2 linked regions of the Alligator mississippiensis genome follow. The protein of the gene in region 2 interacts with the protein of the main gene of each other region in a biochemical or structural test. Links are inferred from orthologs where the notes say so. Each region holds a gene or a part of one and is shown on either strand. Other genes may lie near its edges.

The links.
Region 1: the proteins of MYO5B (region 2) and RAB11FIP2 form a complex in vitro, tested with the Homo sapiens proteins (2 studies listed by BioGRID). The link is inferred for Alligator mississippiensis from reciprocal best matches to the Homo sapiens genes MYO5B and RAB11FIP2.

The regions. Positions count from the first base shown.
Region 1 is NC_081829.1:88,734,241-88,741,166, forward strand, and holds the start of RAB11FIP2 (rab11 family-interacting protein 2), read left to right. Parts: upstream 1-3,907; 5' UTR 3,908-4,136; coding exon 4,137-4,486; intron 4,487-6,926. UniProt on the Homo sapiens protein: A Rab11 effector binding preferentially phosphatidylinositol 3,4,5-trisphosphate (PtdInsP3) and phosphatidic acid (PA) and acting in the regulation of the transport of vesicles from the endosomal recycling compartment (ERC) to the plasma membrane.
Region 2 is NC_081826.1:288,437,764-288,445,382, reverse strand, and holds the start of MYO5B (unconventional myosin-Vb), read right to left. Parts: upstream 3,010-7,619; 5' UTR 2,928-3,009; coding exon 2,901-2,927; intron 2,696-2,900; exon of another isoform or gene 1,836-2,695; intron 1-1,835. UniProt on the Homo sapiens protein: May be involved in vesicular trafficking via its association with the CART complex. The CART complex is necessary for efficient transferrin receptor recycling but not for EGFR degradation.

The DNA.
Region 1 (6,926 bases), on a different chromosome or scaffold from region 2:
TGGAAGAAGTAGGGGTTGTATAGCCAATAACTTCCCAACCACATCATATAAGTCGGAAACTGGAAAACAAAAATGTGGAACAGGTATAACCTCAGGTGAGGTGCTGGAGGTGTTGGGAAGCAAGACTAATATTCTGCTACAGGTTTGAGAAGGTAGAGATGTGCCAGTCTAATGCACAATAATTTCCATGGGCTCTTTCTATGTTGCTTCTTATTCACGGGACATAACAGTTTACATTAGATACATCAGTATAGTGAGAAGTGATAGCATACCATGGGGGATTGAGGATGGGAAAACTACAAAAGAGCAGGGAAAAACAAAGGTTTTAACTATATGTTAAAAATGTTCGTGGCACTTTCCCCAAGAGATAGCAAGCAATTCCTGATGTCTACCTTAAATGTCAAATGAGTAAATATAGTCGATCTAAAAATCCCCTGTAGTTATGGTTGGAGAAGGTGTTCTTCATGCTTGTTTCAGAAGTAATGCAATGTAGAATGTGTCCTTTAAACAGAATTTGTATATGGTAAAATTAATTTTAAGGAATAAGCCAACTATATGTTCCTTGCTAAAGATATAATCAAGGTTTCCAGTGAACTGCCTCACTAAGCCAAGCCTTCTGCAAAACACCATTGTCAAGTCCCTATAATGCTTCCAAAAATTATCTATCATTCCCACTTTTTATAAAGATCCTGGCTAACTCTCCCTTCCTCAGTCATGGCCATTCATCCTTCCATGATGCTATGCTCTCACTATTCCCCCCTCCCAAGCCCCAGATATTCACACACATCTGGGGCAAGAAAATTGAGGAAGCTGGAAGGGATATGAAAGAGGCAAGGGATATGCATGTGTGCTTATTTGAGAAATGGGGTGTAGGTTGTAGCCGTGTCGGTCTAAGGACATATTTGAGAACTGGTTGCCCATCCTGCACGATGAATGTACAACCTTAACTCTGACCATAACCATAGTATGTCCGTGCAAGCACACATGCAAACTTACAATGATAGTTTATGCATAAAATGCTGAATGTGTAACAATCTTTTAATACAGATCATTCATTCAGGTAAGTTTTCTCAACCTTACTAGGAAAACAATTTGCAGTCTGACACCATTTCAAAGCACATACCAACACAAAGCTACATCCATTGTAACTGATGAAAGTCACACTGCCGCTATATTAATCAGCAAAATACATGAACAAATCACCAGCCCACAGTCAAAGCTTGAGGGCTCCTGGAACTTTTTTGAGATAACTGTGACAATGCAGAAGCTGTGGGCGTAAGAAATGAAGCTAAGGTTACAAAGAGGAACTGATGACTAAAATGTGGACAAAGCATCAAATGACTTAGCTGCTGATTCCCTTGCTTGTTGTGGTTTCTTTGGTGGAATGTGCAGTACTGCAACATTAAATGTGTCATTTTTTTTATAGAATAACAGTTAATACTGTGCATTAGTCTACACCCTCTCCCAAGCTTCCAGAGATCCTTTAAAACACGTTATGTTTTAAATTATTTTTTTATTTAAAATGAAAGTTATCAAGCCAGGATGACATGCAAAAAAAAAAAAAAAAATTAAAAAAACCCTTAAGAAATGGCGTTTCTCTAAACTAACATTGCAAAACCCTTAATCACAAGATGGAAATGATTTGGAAAACTTCCTTTAAAGCAGCAGAAAGGAGTGACAAGTTTGGGGTGGCTCAGACCCTCAGATTAGCTGCATGAGCCTGTGGACAGCCAGGACCCATTCCTAAACAGACACTCAGACCCCACCGTCGAAGACTGTTTTAAAATGGGACTGACTAAGTGAAACATACTGGTACTACAGGAAGACAGAAGAGGATGATGGGAAAGAAATGGCAGACCTCAACTGGTGGAAAGGGGTCTGGCATAGACTTTTACAGGAGTAGACCCTCTTAGCAGGGTAGTGGGTGGTGGGGGTATGGGTATGCAGATGGGTACATGGGTGTGCGGTTGCACGGTGTGAACTGTGTAACAGGTTTTTAGTGTGCTTTGAGCTGCCAAGTCAACCACAAGGGCCACCTGGGAGAGCGTTGGAGGTGGAGTTATATATGTATCTATCTCTATCTAGATATCTATCTCTATTTCTATATATAGAGATAGATCTATATTTAGATCTATCTATATATTTGCAAAAAAACAAAGAGCAGACAAAAAAAAACTAGCTGCCTGAGCCTTGATATGGCCTTTTAATACAGAAGTGCAGTGACTGGGTGGGGGGGAAAGTTTCACAACAGGAGCTGCTGAAGGATGCGAACGGGGGCAAACTGGGGGAACATGTTCAGTGTCTTGTTTAACCCGTGCTGCTGGATTTTTGGTTGTAGCCATGTTGGTCCAAAGCAGCTGTTCCCAAACTCTGACAGATGGCATGCTGCAAATTTAAAACAACACAACCTTATGTACCACCAGCAAATTTTTCAGTTCAACCTTAAGTACCAGCTGCAAATATTTATCATATAAAGTAATTCTAATAAATCTGTTACCTGACCAGTGGCCTGCGTACGACTGGTTTAGGGTGGTCATCAGAGAACAGTCCGGTTGCCCTCTGTCCTCTATTGATACAAAACCAGATACCTTGATGTGTATCAATAGTGGACGGATCCTCTATTGATACGAAACCAGGCACCTTTATGTGCATCGGTAGCAGATGGATCCTCTATTGATACAAAACTAGAAGTCTTTGTGTGCATCGATAGTGGACGTTTCCTCTATTGATATGAAACTGGACGCATTTATGTGTATCAATAGAGGATATATCCTCTATTGATACGAAACCAGACGCCTTTACATGTATCGATAGCAGATGTATCCTCTATTGATATGAAACCGGGCGCCTTTACATGTATCGATAGCAGACGTATCCTCTATTGATAGGAAACCAGATGCCTTTACATGTATTGATAGCAGACGTATCCTCTATTGATAGGAAACCAGACGCTTTTAAGTTTATCGATAGCAGACGTATCCTCTATTGATAGGAAACCAAACGCTTTTACGTTTATCGATAGCAGACGTATCCTCTATTGATAGGAAACCAGACGCTTTTACGTTTATCGATAGCAGACGTATCCTCTATTGATAGGAAACCAAACGCTTTTACGTTTATCGATAGCAGACGTATCCTCTATTGATAGGAAACCAGACACCTTTACATGTATCGATAACAGGCATATCCTCTATTGATAGGAAACCAGACACCTTTACATGTATCGATAACAGGCATATCCTCTATTGATAGGAAACCAGACGCTTTTACGTGTATCGATAGCAGACATATCTTCTATCGATACAAAACTGGATGCCTTCATGTGTATCGATAGCGGACGTATCCTCCATTGATACGAACCCGGACGCCTTTATTTCCTCTATTGTTCTCTTCAAGAAAAAGAGCCATCTCTATTCTTCTCTTCATCAAACATCAAGGCATCCAGTTTCGTATCAAGAGGCCAGAATAGCAGAAAACCACGATGGCCACCCTCCCGGTGGTACCCGTGCCGCACACCGGGACACGGCCGCCGCGTGCCCCCGGCACTCGGTGACCACCGCAGACGGCGCCTTTCCGCAGGGGGTGCACGCGCAGACCCCAACACGTTGCCCATGTCCTCTACGACGCCCCCTACAGACGGGGCAGCGCGGCTGTTCAAGTTCTCGACCCTCATAAAAGATGACCCAAGAGCCCGGCTGCCACCTTGTTCCCCCCCAAGGGGTGAAGATCCCACACTGTGGGGGGAATTTTCCCCTTGCCTTGGCTGTCACCTCCCCCTCCCAGGCGGTCTCCGCAGCCCGCGAGCGCGGGGCGCCCCCTGCCACGTGCGTCCGCGCTCGCCCCGCCCCCTGCCCGCAGCCCCGCCCCCTGCCCTCTGCCCCCTGCCCCCTGCCCCTGCCCGGCGCGGCGGCCTGAGGGACTGGGAAGGCGGAAGTGGCGGCGCGGTGCGGCGCGGTGAAGCGCCGGCCCCGGCGGGCGGGCGGGCGGAGGCCTCTGCACATCATCCCCGCGGCTGCTGATTTGGGAGAACCCCCCCTCAGGGTATGAGCAGCGGCTCCTCGTCTGCTCCGGGGCCCCGGGTTTAAAGCCCCCCGCGCCGGTTTGTATTTGCCCCCCGCCCCGCGCCGGCCGAGAGGATGCTGTCCGAGCAAGCCCAGCGGTGGTTCCCCACCCACGTGCAGGTCACGGTGCTGCAAGCCAAAGCCCTGAAGCCCAAAGGCAAGAACGGCACCAACGACACGTACACCATCATCCAGCTGGGCAAGGAGAAGTACTCCACCTCGGTGGCCGAGAAGACGCTGGATCCGGTGTGGAAAGAAGAGGCCTCGTTTGAGCTGCCGGGATTACTGGTGCAAGGCAGCCCCGAGAAGTACATCCTCTGCCTGGTGGTCATGCACAGGTCGCTGGTGGGGCTGGACAAGTTTTTGGGGCAGGTGGCTATCAATTTGAACGCAATCTTTGAGGACAAGCAACGGAGGAAAACGGAGTAAGTGCCCTTTTCGTCTTGTTGGGCTGGCTCGCGTTGATCCGGCTCCGTGCCCCAAATTAAACCGAGCAGGTGCATAACGCGCTGTCCTGCCGGCGGGACCCGGGTGCGGGCGTAGCTGCCCCGAAGTCAGCGGGGCTTTCGGACATCTCCGTCCTTTAAAAAAAAAATGTTATTTTTAATATACGCTGTGAATGTTATGTTTTTAATTTTTCTCTTGCTTCTGAATAGTGCCGCTGTTATCAAGGTGGGCGGCAAAGTTTGAACCGGGGTCGCAACTCGGATTCGTTCAAACTCCGTCATGCGTGTCGCATCGCTTTGCCTAATATAATATCCGTATTGGATTCGTTCAAACTTTGTCGTGTGTCGCATCACTTTGCCTAATATAGTCTCTGTTTTGGATTCGTTCAAACTGCATCATGTGGGTCACATCAATTTGAATAAATCTAGTACAGGCGTTATATTCGGCAAGCTCCATCACGTGTGTCGCATCACTTTGCCTAATACAGTGTCTGTTTTGGATTCGTTCAAACTTTGTCGTGTGTAGCATTACTTGGCGTAATATAGTGTCCGTATTGGGTTAGTTCAAACTCCATCATGTGTGTAGCATCACTTTGAATAAATCTAGTACAGGCATTATATTAGGCAAGCTCCATCATGCATGTCACATCACTTTGCCTAATATAGTGTCTGTATTGGATTCGTTCAAACTTTGTCGTGTGTAGCATCACTTTGCCTAATATAATGTCCGTATTGGATTCGTTCAAACTCTGTCATGTGTGTCACATCACTTTGCCTAATATAGTCTCCGTTTTGGATTCGTTCAAACTCCGTCATGTGTGTCACATCACTTTGAATAAATCTAGTACGGGCATTATATTAGGCAAGCTCCATCATGCGTGTTGCATCACTTTGCCTAATGTAGTGTCCGTATTGGATTCGTTCAAACTTTGTCGTGTGTAGCATCACTTTGCCTAATATAATGTCCGTATTGGATTCGTTCAAACTCCATCATGTGTGTCGCATCACTTTGAATAAATCTAGTACGGGCATTATATTAGGCAAGCTCCATCATGCGTGTCACATCACTGCCTAATATAGTGTCTGTATTGGATTCGTTCAAACTCCATCATGTGTGTAGCATCACTTTGCCTAATATAACGTCTGTATTGGGTTTGTTCAAACTCTGTCACGTGTTTAAACTCCATCATGTTCAAACTCATATAGTGTCCATATTAACATCTGTTGCAAACAGCGTGATTCTAGTTTGTCCAAGCTTATTCATTTGGTCGTCTTTGAACTCTGGTTCAAGCTTGCCGTGGTAGCCTCGTACTTTTCTGATGCTCAGTAGATCTTGGGCCTTAATCTTGCTTGCTACTTTATGCTGCAGGCCCATGCAGAGTAACTGGTAGAGAAGTTTCTGCTCTAGCAGGAACTTCCATGAGTTTTGTTAAATCAAATTGTGATTTTTTTTTTTCCCTTAACAAATTCTGAATGCCAAATGGAAATAATGGCTCTTTTAGGTTTATAAATAGCATTTTGTGCAGTAAGGGTGCTTAATCAAGCACAGCAATGTAAAGACTGATCAACACTCAGATCTTTGTTTTGTAATACTAATTTAAATTGTGCTGTTAGGGCTCTGTGTCTTTTTTTTCCCCTTTTTTACTAATTAACTGTTATGGCCCCTAATGTGGCCACAGTTACATTGGCATAAAGGTACCAGCATAGGTTATTCCTGTGCATTTATGTTAAAAACTTGTATACGTATGCAGAGCTTTATAGCAGAGTAGCTGTCTACATTAGAGACGTATTGTTTTAACTGTACTGGCCCCAAACACAATATAGTTAAAGCTCTAAGTCACTAGTTTCTACATTTTTAGACGAGAGGAATGCCTTGTTCGACTCAAGGCACCCCTCCATAACTTCAGAATTGAGCAGCATCCCATTTCAAAACCTGGTTAGATGGGGACGAACCTGAGCCTGCACTTACCTTCTCACACCTGCTTTTCTCCTTGCGGCATCCTTCAAAAGATCTTGCTGCACCCCAAGGTGCCCTGGCACCCTGGTTGAAAATTACTGCTTTAAGTTAAAAATATGGTTTTGAAACTCTGGGCCTGCTTGCATGCTTTCTACTCCAATGAATCAATGGTAGGAGTGTGTTAGGGTGGCATGGGTACTAAGGTGCACGGTTAACAGCCCAGAGGTCTCAAGTTTGAGGCTGCCCGTAGCATGGTCTGTCTGATGCCAATGAATCTGAGTTATGCTAAATACCTTGTCACAAAGGCACAGGAAAGGAAATTTGCAAAAGCAAGGTGTAACTTTATAGATTGAATGTACTCTTTTTTTTTTTTTAACATAAACTATAACAAAAATTGTTCCTTGTCTCACTGTCTTGACTTCACAAACTGAGGTAATTAACAGGGTTTTTATGATAACTGAA
Region 2 (7,619 bases):
ATTGTCCTCTGCTAATCGGGAATTTCTTACATCTCTTCCTTGCGGTCTGCTCAAGTTACTAAATCATGCTTTCAGGCATGTTCAAGGAGTGCAGTTACAACAGTCAACACATTTGAAAGAAAGAGAAAGAAAGTTCTCTCCAATTGGAGCTGTGACGCGCCGAAGCCGAAAGTGTCCATAGTCCTTCACCAGTTCAAGGGCTCAACTCTGAAAGTCCTTCCTTACAGGAAATAGTTTCACACAATCCAAAGGAAACTCGTGCGTGAACGTAGTTCATCGTACAAGACTCGGGCGATCATGGACCTATTTAGCACCGACAGGGCGATGACCAAAAAAAAAGTTCATAAACTATGCTACAACAGATTTCCATAAAGCTTGGGACAATTCTACGTGGCAATACCACACAGCCAGCCGTACAGTCAAATCATGGAAGTCAGAGAAAAAACAGTGAGGAAGACGTACATAGAAAGAAAGAGGTCAAGTACCTGCTCAGGGCAGGATCACTACTAAAAACTGCTAACATTCAGAGCCAAGTATGGGTGGGCAGACGGGCACAAATTCCTCGAAAGACATGATTCCAGACTGGTGACTGCTGAGCCACCACGCCGACTGGGATCAAAGCAAAACGCCAGCACTTCTACAACCTTCCAGCAAAAGCTATTTGTAGGTCAGCGGCATGCAGTTCTCCTATGCCTGTACCTCACATTATTTCAAATGAATCAGATGGAAAGACCCTAGGGAAATATTCTTATTAAAAAGGTATAAATAAAAGCCCATAAACAAAGGCAGGATTCTCCATCTAAAACCATTTTCATTCCGTCTCACGCAGGCAAGTCTCCTGTTGACGTAGCCTGAATGATTACAGTGAACTTGGTAACATCTATAAAGCTTGCTCTTTTTTTCTTGTAAGCCTGTCTATGCCCCTTGTTTAAAAAAAAAAAAAAAGCATCCATCCTCCAAAAAAACCACGCTAACTCAATGCAATTTGGCTCTGCTCACTTCTTTGGAAAAGAAACTTTGTCTGATGTGAGGACACACATTTCTCCTTGTCTGAAAGGACATTTATGGTAGGGAAGGATTTCTCGGAGCTCTCTAGAGCAGCATGCCCCTGCCCTTGGAGAGACAATCCTGTCCGTAGGAGTGCTCAGAGGTCCTCCATGCATACAAGACTTCCCTTTCTTATTTGAAATGGGAAGCAGCTTCCAACAAAGAACAAGCATAAAAATGCAAGAGAAAAATAGGACATATTTATTTCCTTAGCAGCTATATCCTTCCCAGTGCTCCAGCGGGGCTTGATGAACATGTGAAAGAGCCAGGACAGATCACACAGGAGCAAGTCCCGTTTCCCCTGCAACATGTGCTCTTGGGACACACCTGAGAAGTGTGCACGCCGATGTAGTCCCCACGCACTCGCAACGTAAAGAATGGTGTGCACCTCGGTGACCGGCAGGTATTACCATTGTAAGTACCTGCCACTACCCCCGTCCCGACCACAAGTCTTACTGATCTGCCTTCAGCCAATGCTACCTTTTCTCCCCCTGCCTCTCTCAGGCAGGCAGAAATTCTGCCCTCCTAGAACAGGAGCAGTTTCCTTCTCCTCCACTGCCCCAAAACCAAAGTCGGCAAAGCAAGGACTAAGATCAGACTGAGCTTAGGAAAAAAGTGACCTCCCTCTGTTCATTGCATCTTGCTTAGTTAGCAACTTCCCCATGTCAATTAACAGTGGAGAAGGAAAGGGGGGGGGGGGGAGAAAGAGATATTCTTTCCCCTGCCGACACTCGTTGGATCTCTAAAGATTACTTGTGTGCTGTTTTCAGCTGAGAGTTTTCTTCGCAAGTCACAGGCCTGCAGCGCGCACTGGACCCCAGGGAGTCTGCATAACCGGATCTGCTCAGCCGAGCGCCACACTTAACACTGATCAACAACCGCACACTTGCACGACAGCTTCCGAGTCCTACCCCCAGGCGCTCCCAGCACCTATGGCTCAGATTCCCAACCGGACGCTGAGGCAGAGGAACTTCACCAAAGGCTGGGAAGGAGGAGGAACAGGAGCGGAGGCAGAAACCAGGATAATACAGTTGGGTACGCTCTCCACTCCCGATCACACAGCCTCCCAGGGTGAAGCCGCACTTGCCTTGAACGTTTAGCAAACAAAAACACAAAGACCAAGCAATGCAAATAAAAAAAATCCAAAACAACAAAACACCGGACCAGGAATATTAAACGATATCCTTCCCTACGCTGTCTCCACTTAAAATCTGGGCTCTCGCACAAGGAGCGCGAGACAGAAGCACATCAGTGCCGTGACCGGCTGGGACACTAAGGAGAGCCGCCCTGAATGAGTTTGGTTTTTCTTTTACTCCCGTACCACAAGACACGCCGGGATCAGCGCAGCACAGCCGTGCTGCTGACTTTAACCCTTTTACTTGATGCTGCTTTGACACGGTTGATAAGTTTCTAGAACAGGGACAGATCCCGTTGTGGCTGTGTGCGGCTGGGACACCGCTAAGGACACCCCACGCTGCCCAGGGACAGCCCGCGCGCGGGGAGCGCAGCGTCTCGCTCGCCCGCCCGGGCTCGGGGCGGCCCGGCCCCCGCAACCATTCGCACGGTTTCCACCGAGGCGGGTCCTGAGGAAATCCTGGCAGTCGGACTACGACCACCGAGTCGGGGAGGGGGGCTGTCACCCGCGCAGGTGGGCTGCGGGCAGGGGACGGCGGTTGGCCCCGGGCTGGGGGCAGGGGAGCCGGCACCTAGAGCGGTTGCAAAGGTCGCAGGGAGGCGGGAGGCGGCCGGCTGTCCCCTCAGGGCCCGGCCTGCCCCGGCACGGCGGCCCCCGGGAGCCCGGGCAGGGCAGTGCAGGGCCGGGCGGGGAAGGGGCGGCGGCGGCAGAGACTCACCTGCGTGTAGAGCTCGCTCACCGACATGTCCGTCCGCCCGGCGCGGGGCGGGGCGGCGCGGGGCGGGGGTGGCGCGGGCGGTCAGGCGGGGCCCGCGGCTGGTGCTGGCGCCATGGCCCGGCCCGGCCCGGCTCCGCTCGCCGCACCCGGAGGCTTCTCGCCGCGACCTCCGCGAGGGATTTATAGCCGGGAGGAGGCGGAGGTGGAGGTGGAGGAAAGGCCCGCCCCGCCCCCAGGCGGGCCCCGCCTCACCCCGCCCCGCCCCCCGCCCTGCCTCAGTGGTCGGGCCTGTGAAATGGGTCCGCGCGCTTTCTTTTCTTTTCTTTTTTCCTTTTTTTTTTTTTTTTTGCTTTTTTTTTCCCGTGTTGCGCTGCGGCGCGTCTCTCGTGCCTTTTCCCAGCTCTTCTGTGACCCAGGACCGGGGAGGCGCTGGCGGCCAAGGGCCAGGGTCATTCCTCTGCTACGTACAAGAAACCGCGCGGGGCCTGTCGTGCGCCCGGACGGTGCCGGCGCTGCGTCCGGGCTGATCTCCAGCGCGGGTCGTTCCTCTGACTGGACGTGCAGTCGTAAAGGAGGACAGTCCTTGTTCTTTCAGTCCAGCGCCGTGGTTTTCACTCCTCTTTCTCTCCATTGGCAGACCCCTCAAGGCGTTTGAAGGGAATGTCAAATGCGGGTGCGGACCCTTTGACTCGTCAGTGGGGATCCACGCGCTTTTTGATCAGCGCTGTCTTCCGCGGACCCCTTAGAGATGGTCCGTGCACCCCGGGGGTGCCTGGACCACAGGCTGAAAACCACCGCTCTACATTAGTGTCAGCAACAAAGCAACTGCCTTCTTCAGATGGCAAGTGAAATATGTGTTCATGGGTAGAGCTCAAAGTACTTTACCCCGTTTTACAGATCAGGAAACTGAGGCAGATCTATCAAGCAGTTTGCCTAGAGTCACCCAGCAGGTCCAAGACAGAGCCATGAATATAACCCAGGTCTCCAGGATCCCAGTCCAACACTTTGCCCATTAGACAACACAGCTCTTCTTTCTTCTGAGACTCGTCATGTGTCACATAGTTAATGTGTGCAGCGTGTGCTGTGTCCGCAGAAGGAAGGTGCTATGGAAAGGTTAAAATAAAGGATTATTAATTGTTATTGTTAGGAATCACGTTAAGGTGTCTATAGCATGGGGGCAGCGACCGTGGTGGCAAGGAGCTGGCTCACTGGAGGTCGTGCTCTGCCACAATACTATTTCATGGTCTTTGGTGTGTTTCCTATAAATGACTGGAGATTATGCAGTTTGCTGCATGTCATCAGCATGCAGTGCTGTAGCTGAACAGAAACGCGGACCACGTCTGAACACAGTGAACAGTTCAGTTGCCAGCCTTTTCCCATAGCTCCTCATGCCCTGGCACCATGCAAATATGCTCTTTTTTTTGTCTTGCATCAACACAAAACCTCATTCTCTTTCCCTTCCCACAATTGCTGCCTCGCACCCGAGTGATACATGGGGGCCAGTCGCAGCAGATTTGATATTTGAGCTTGGAGGGGGCAACCTTCATCCACACCAGGGCAACCCCAAAGACAGCCTGCCTCTCCTACCGCCACGGCATTATGCCCTGAATCAGCAGGTGCAGCCTGCAGGCTGGATCCCCACTGCAAAGGGTCCAGCAGAGGTAGAGCTACATTCAGGGAAATGTGGGAAACAACACAGGGAAAAATCAATATGAGAACTGTCAATTTAAAGTGTTGTGAGAAGTTGATAGTCGGCGAATAAAGTTTAAGCACAGCATCGCTCTGTGACTAGCTCCAGGAACATCCTCTCTCAAACACCGTCCATTTGGAGCTTTCTTGTGCCCTCTTCTGGGTAGCCTCAGTCTCTGCAGCAATCTTTATTTAGTAGCAGTTTGCAAGAGATGTATTAGTGGCTCCTATGCAATTCCAACTTCAATCTTCTGTATGTCTCACTTCAAAGTCTAGGATTTAAAGAGACAGATCTGGCACCAGGTGACACTTGGGGCCACAGGTATGTTCCTAGGAAGGGAGAGGCTGTCTCCAAGGGGTTTAAGCCAGGAGAGGGCTGCTGTAAGTCCCATACAGGGGCTACAGAGGTGTCTGGTTGAAATAATAAATCATGACAACACGCAGCTGCCGTTCCATAACAGCGTGCCCTGTTCAGTGGCTCTTCTACCTCCCTGCAGGCTCTACAACTGTAGAGGACCTTGTGCCTGTTTTCTGCTGATAGGCCCCCAGCAGATATCCTACCACTTTGTGAGTGAATCTGGACCATAATAACAGCCTGAGCAGAGGGCTTGGTTGACATCAGCGTATCTATTCTCCATGGTTTTGCCATTAAAGACATGATACTGTTGGGTTTCTTAACCACTGCTGCACTAACTTGATTCCAATCTGGGAATTAACCTGGACAACGTATTTGATTCCTGTACTGTAATTTTTGTAAGACCTTTAAGATTACCATGGAAATCTAGGCAAATATCTATCCACATATGTGAAACTGCTGTAGCTAAATTGGAATAAATTGCAGGGGTACTGTTATGGGAAAGGGTTTCTAATGTAAGCCTAACTTGCTCTTGTTCTTTTATTCAGTTCTGTGATTCTATATCAAACATGGAAAAGGAATAGGAAATACCAATATCATTAGGAACAAAACTGAAAATGAGAGCTGGGCACAGATAACGGCACAGATGCAAAACACAGCAATTCACATGAAATATAGATTAGCGAATTTATTGCACTCATTTAAAACGTTAATTGCAAGTAAAACAAGACTCAGAAATTTGCTGGAAGTCCTGGCTTCTACAAAATTCTCTGGGAAAATTAAAATTTGTTTCCATTCTGGAAACAAACTTTTACACTTGATTTGCAGATGTCTGCTGAAAACATGGAGCCATCTCCCAAATGCTCGGGAAGAGCAAAGCAATGTCATTTTAGGACCATGCATTCAAGATACCAAGCGCTGTTGGCCCAATAGCTTGCATCCAATGTAAAGTCTGCCAAGAGCATCCTGACTCCTGGTCGAGTCCATTTGAGCCATTGGCTGCAGGTCACTGAGCACTAAGGTATAACCCCACTACCCCACTTGTTTCAACTGAATTTTGGCTACCTGTAGCTTCTCCAGTTTGTAGCTGTCCCTAAGTGTCTGCTTTTAAGCCATGTATCCCCACCCTTGTGAAACAGTTCTGCGCTTTCCTAGCCTTGGTGCTTGACTTGTGCTTCTGCCTCCTGCATTTCCACTTGACAACGATGAGAAATGTTACAGTGACAAGGTCCATACTGGAGGGTAAGCCTTGCAGTCTTCTAGCCAGCAACTAAAGTTGTCTTAGCTGACACTGTAAAGATACAAGTAAAACGTCTTTGAGGTATAGTAGCTGGTTTAGTAAGTGGAGCATCCTGCCACCGGCCAATTCAATCAGTGCTTCATAACTGACATTGGCTGTCTGCAGATTGCAAGTGGAGGTAAGTTGCTGAGGCTGGCGCTGACCTTCATAGTCCTAAATAACCATTTGAGAGAACACCTCTGTGGCTGAGCTATCCTGCTGCAGTGGGAGTTAATCAAAGCATGCTCCTAGAGCCCTTTCATAGCAATGCACCTGTCTCTCACCTGCATCCGTTCCACAACAGCCTGGATTGGCTGGTGCTCTGGATATGCTGCAGGGCTTTTCTTCAAGGTCACAGGTGAAGAGGAAAAGGATGTATTTCAGTGTGCGTGGGACAGTGATGAACTTATTTGCATTATGACTGAATTGGGTTTTTTTGGCTACACTTTATTGGATTTTTGTGGCAGGTCTTTCAAGTAACAGTCTGAGCTGTTCAGGTGTCTTTTTTTGGTTATACTATTCTAAAGAAAATGGATTTTTTAAAATCATCAGTACCTGATAGAAGATACTGGAACTGCACGATTGCTGCACAACTTGCTAGGAAGCACATTTCATAACATGACCCTGACTCTCAAACAATATTGACTGTGAGGCAGAGAGCAGCCTGATAAACATAATAATTTAATTAAGTTTTTCTGGGTGCAACAGAGATAGCTCTGCTGTGCATGTCAATGAATGTCTCTGAATTCTAAATCTGCATGTTCCCCCGAATTAAGCGTTTGTCAGAGTTTCATTCTGGCAGCGATATGTGTGCATATTATAATGCCACTGACATCATAAGACCTGGAAGTGAATATCAAAGATGATGTTAGGATGTGTCCCACTCCTGCCTGCCTCTCGTGCTCATTCTTGCAGAGTTCTAGTTCTGCCCTAGAATTGAGGCAAACTGAAGATGGGACAAGGCCTGAAAAAGTCCTCTAAGATTTTTAAGTGGGGCCAGTACATGGTGCATGTGGCCTACAGGAAATTAAATAGCATCACTCTTGGTAGCTGGCCCAGAGGTGCAGGCAACTCTGCTACAGTGCCCATATCACAGCCCAGTCGGCCAGGGGGTCCCTGTCTGGGTCTGGCAGGTGTGCAGCCATGGGGCAGCAGGTCCAAGGGGGCGGATGCTGTTGCAGGTAGCACCAGGTCACAGCCAGGCAGCAGCCCCCACTGCCAGACTACTGCAGTGGGTAGAGGGTGCATCCCTAACCCTTGGGTAGTTAGGGTGCAGCCCTAACCACTCTAGGTCAGGGCTGATTCAGCAGTCCACCTGGCACAAGGAGCTACTGTCCCCAGATACCAACTGGCCGGGCCTCAGAGGCTCCTGTCTCTGCATCTTCCAGAGATTGTG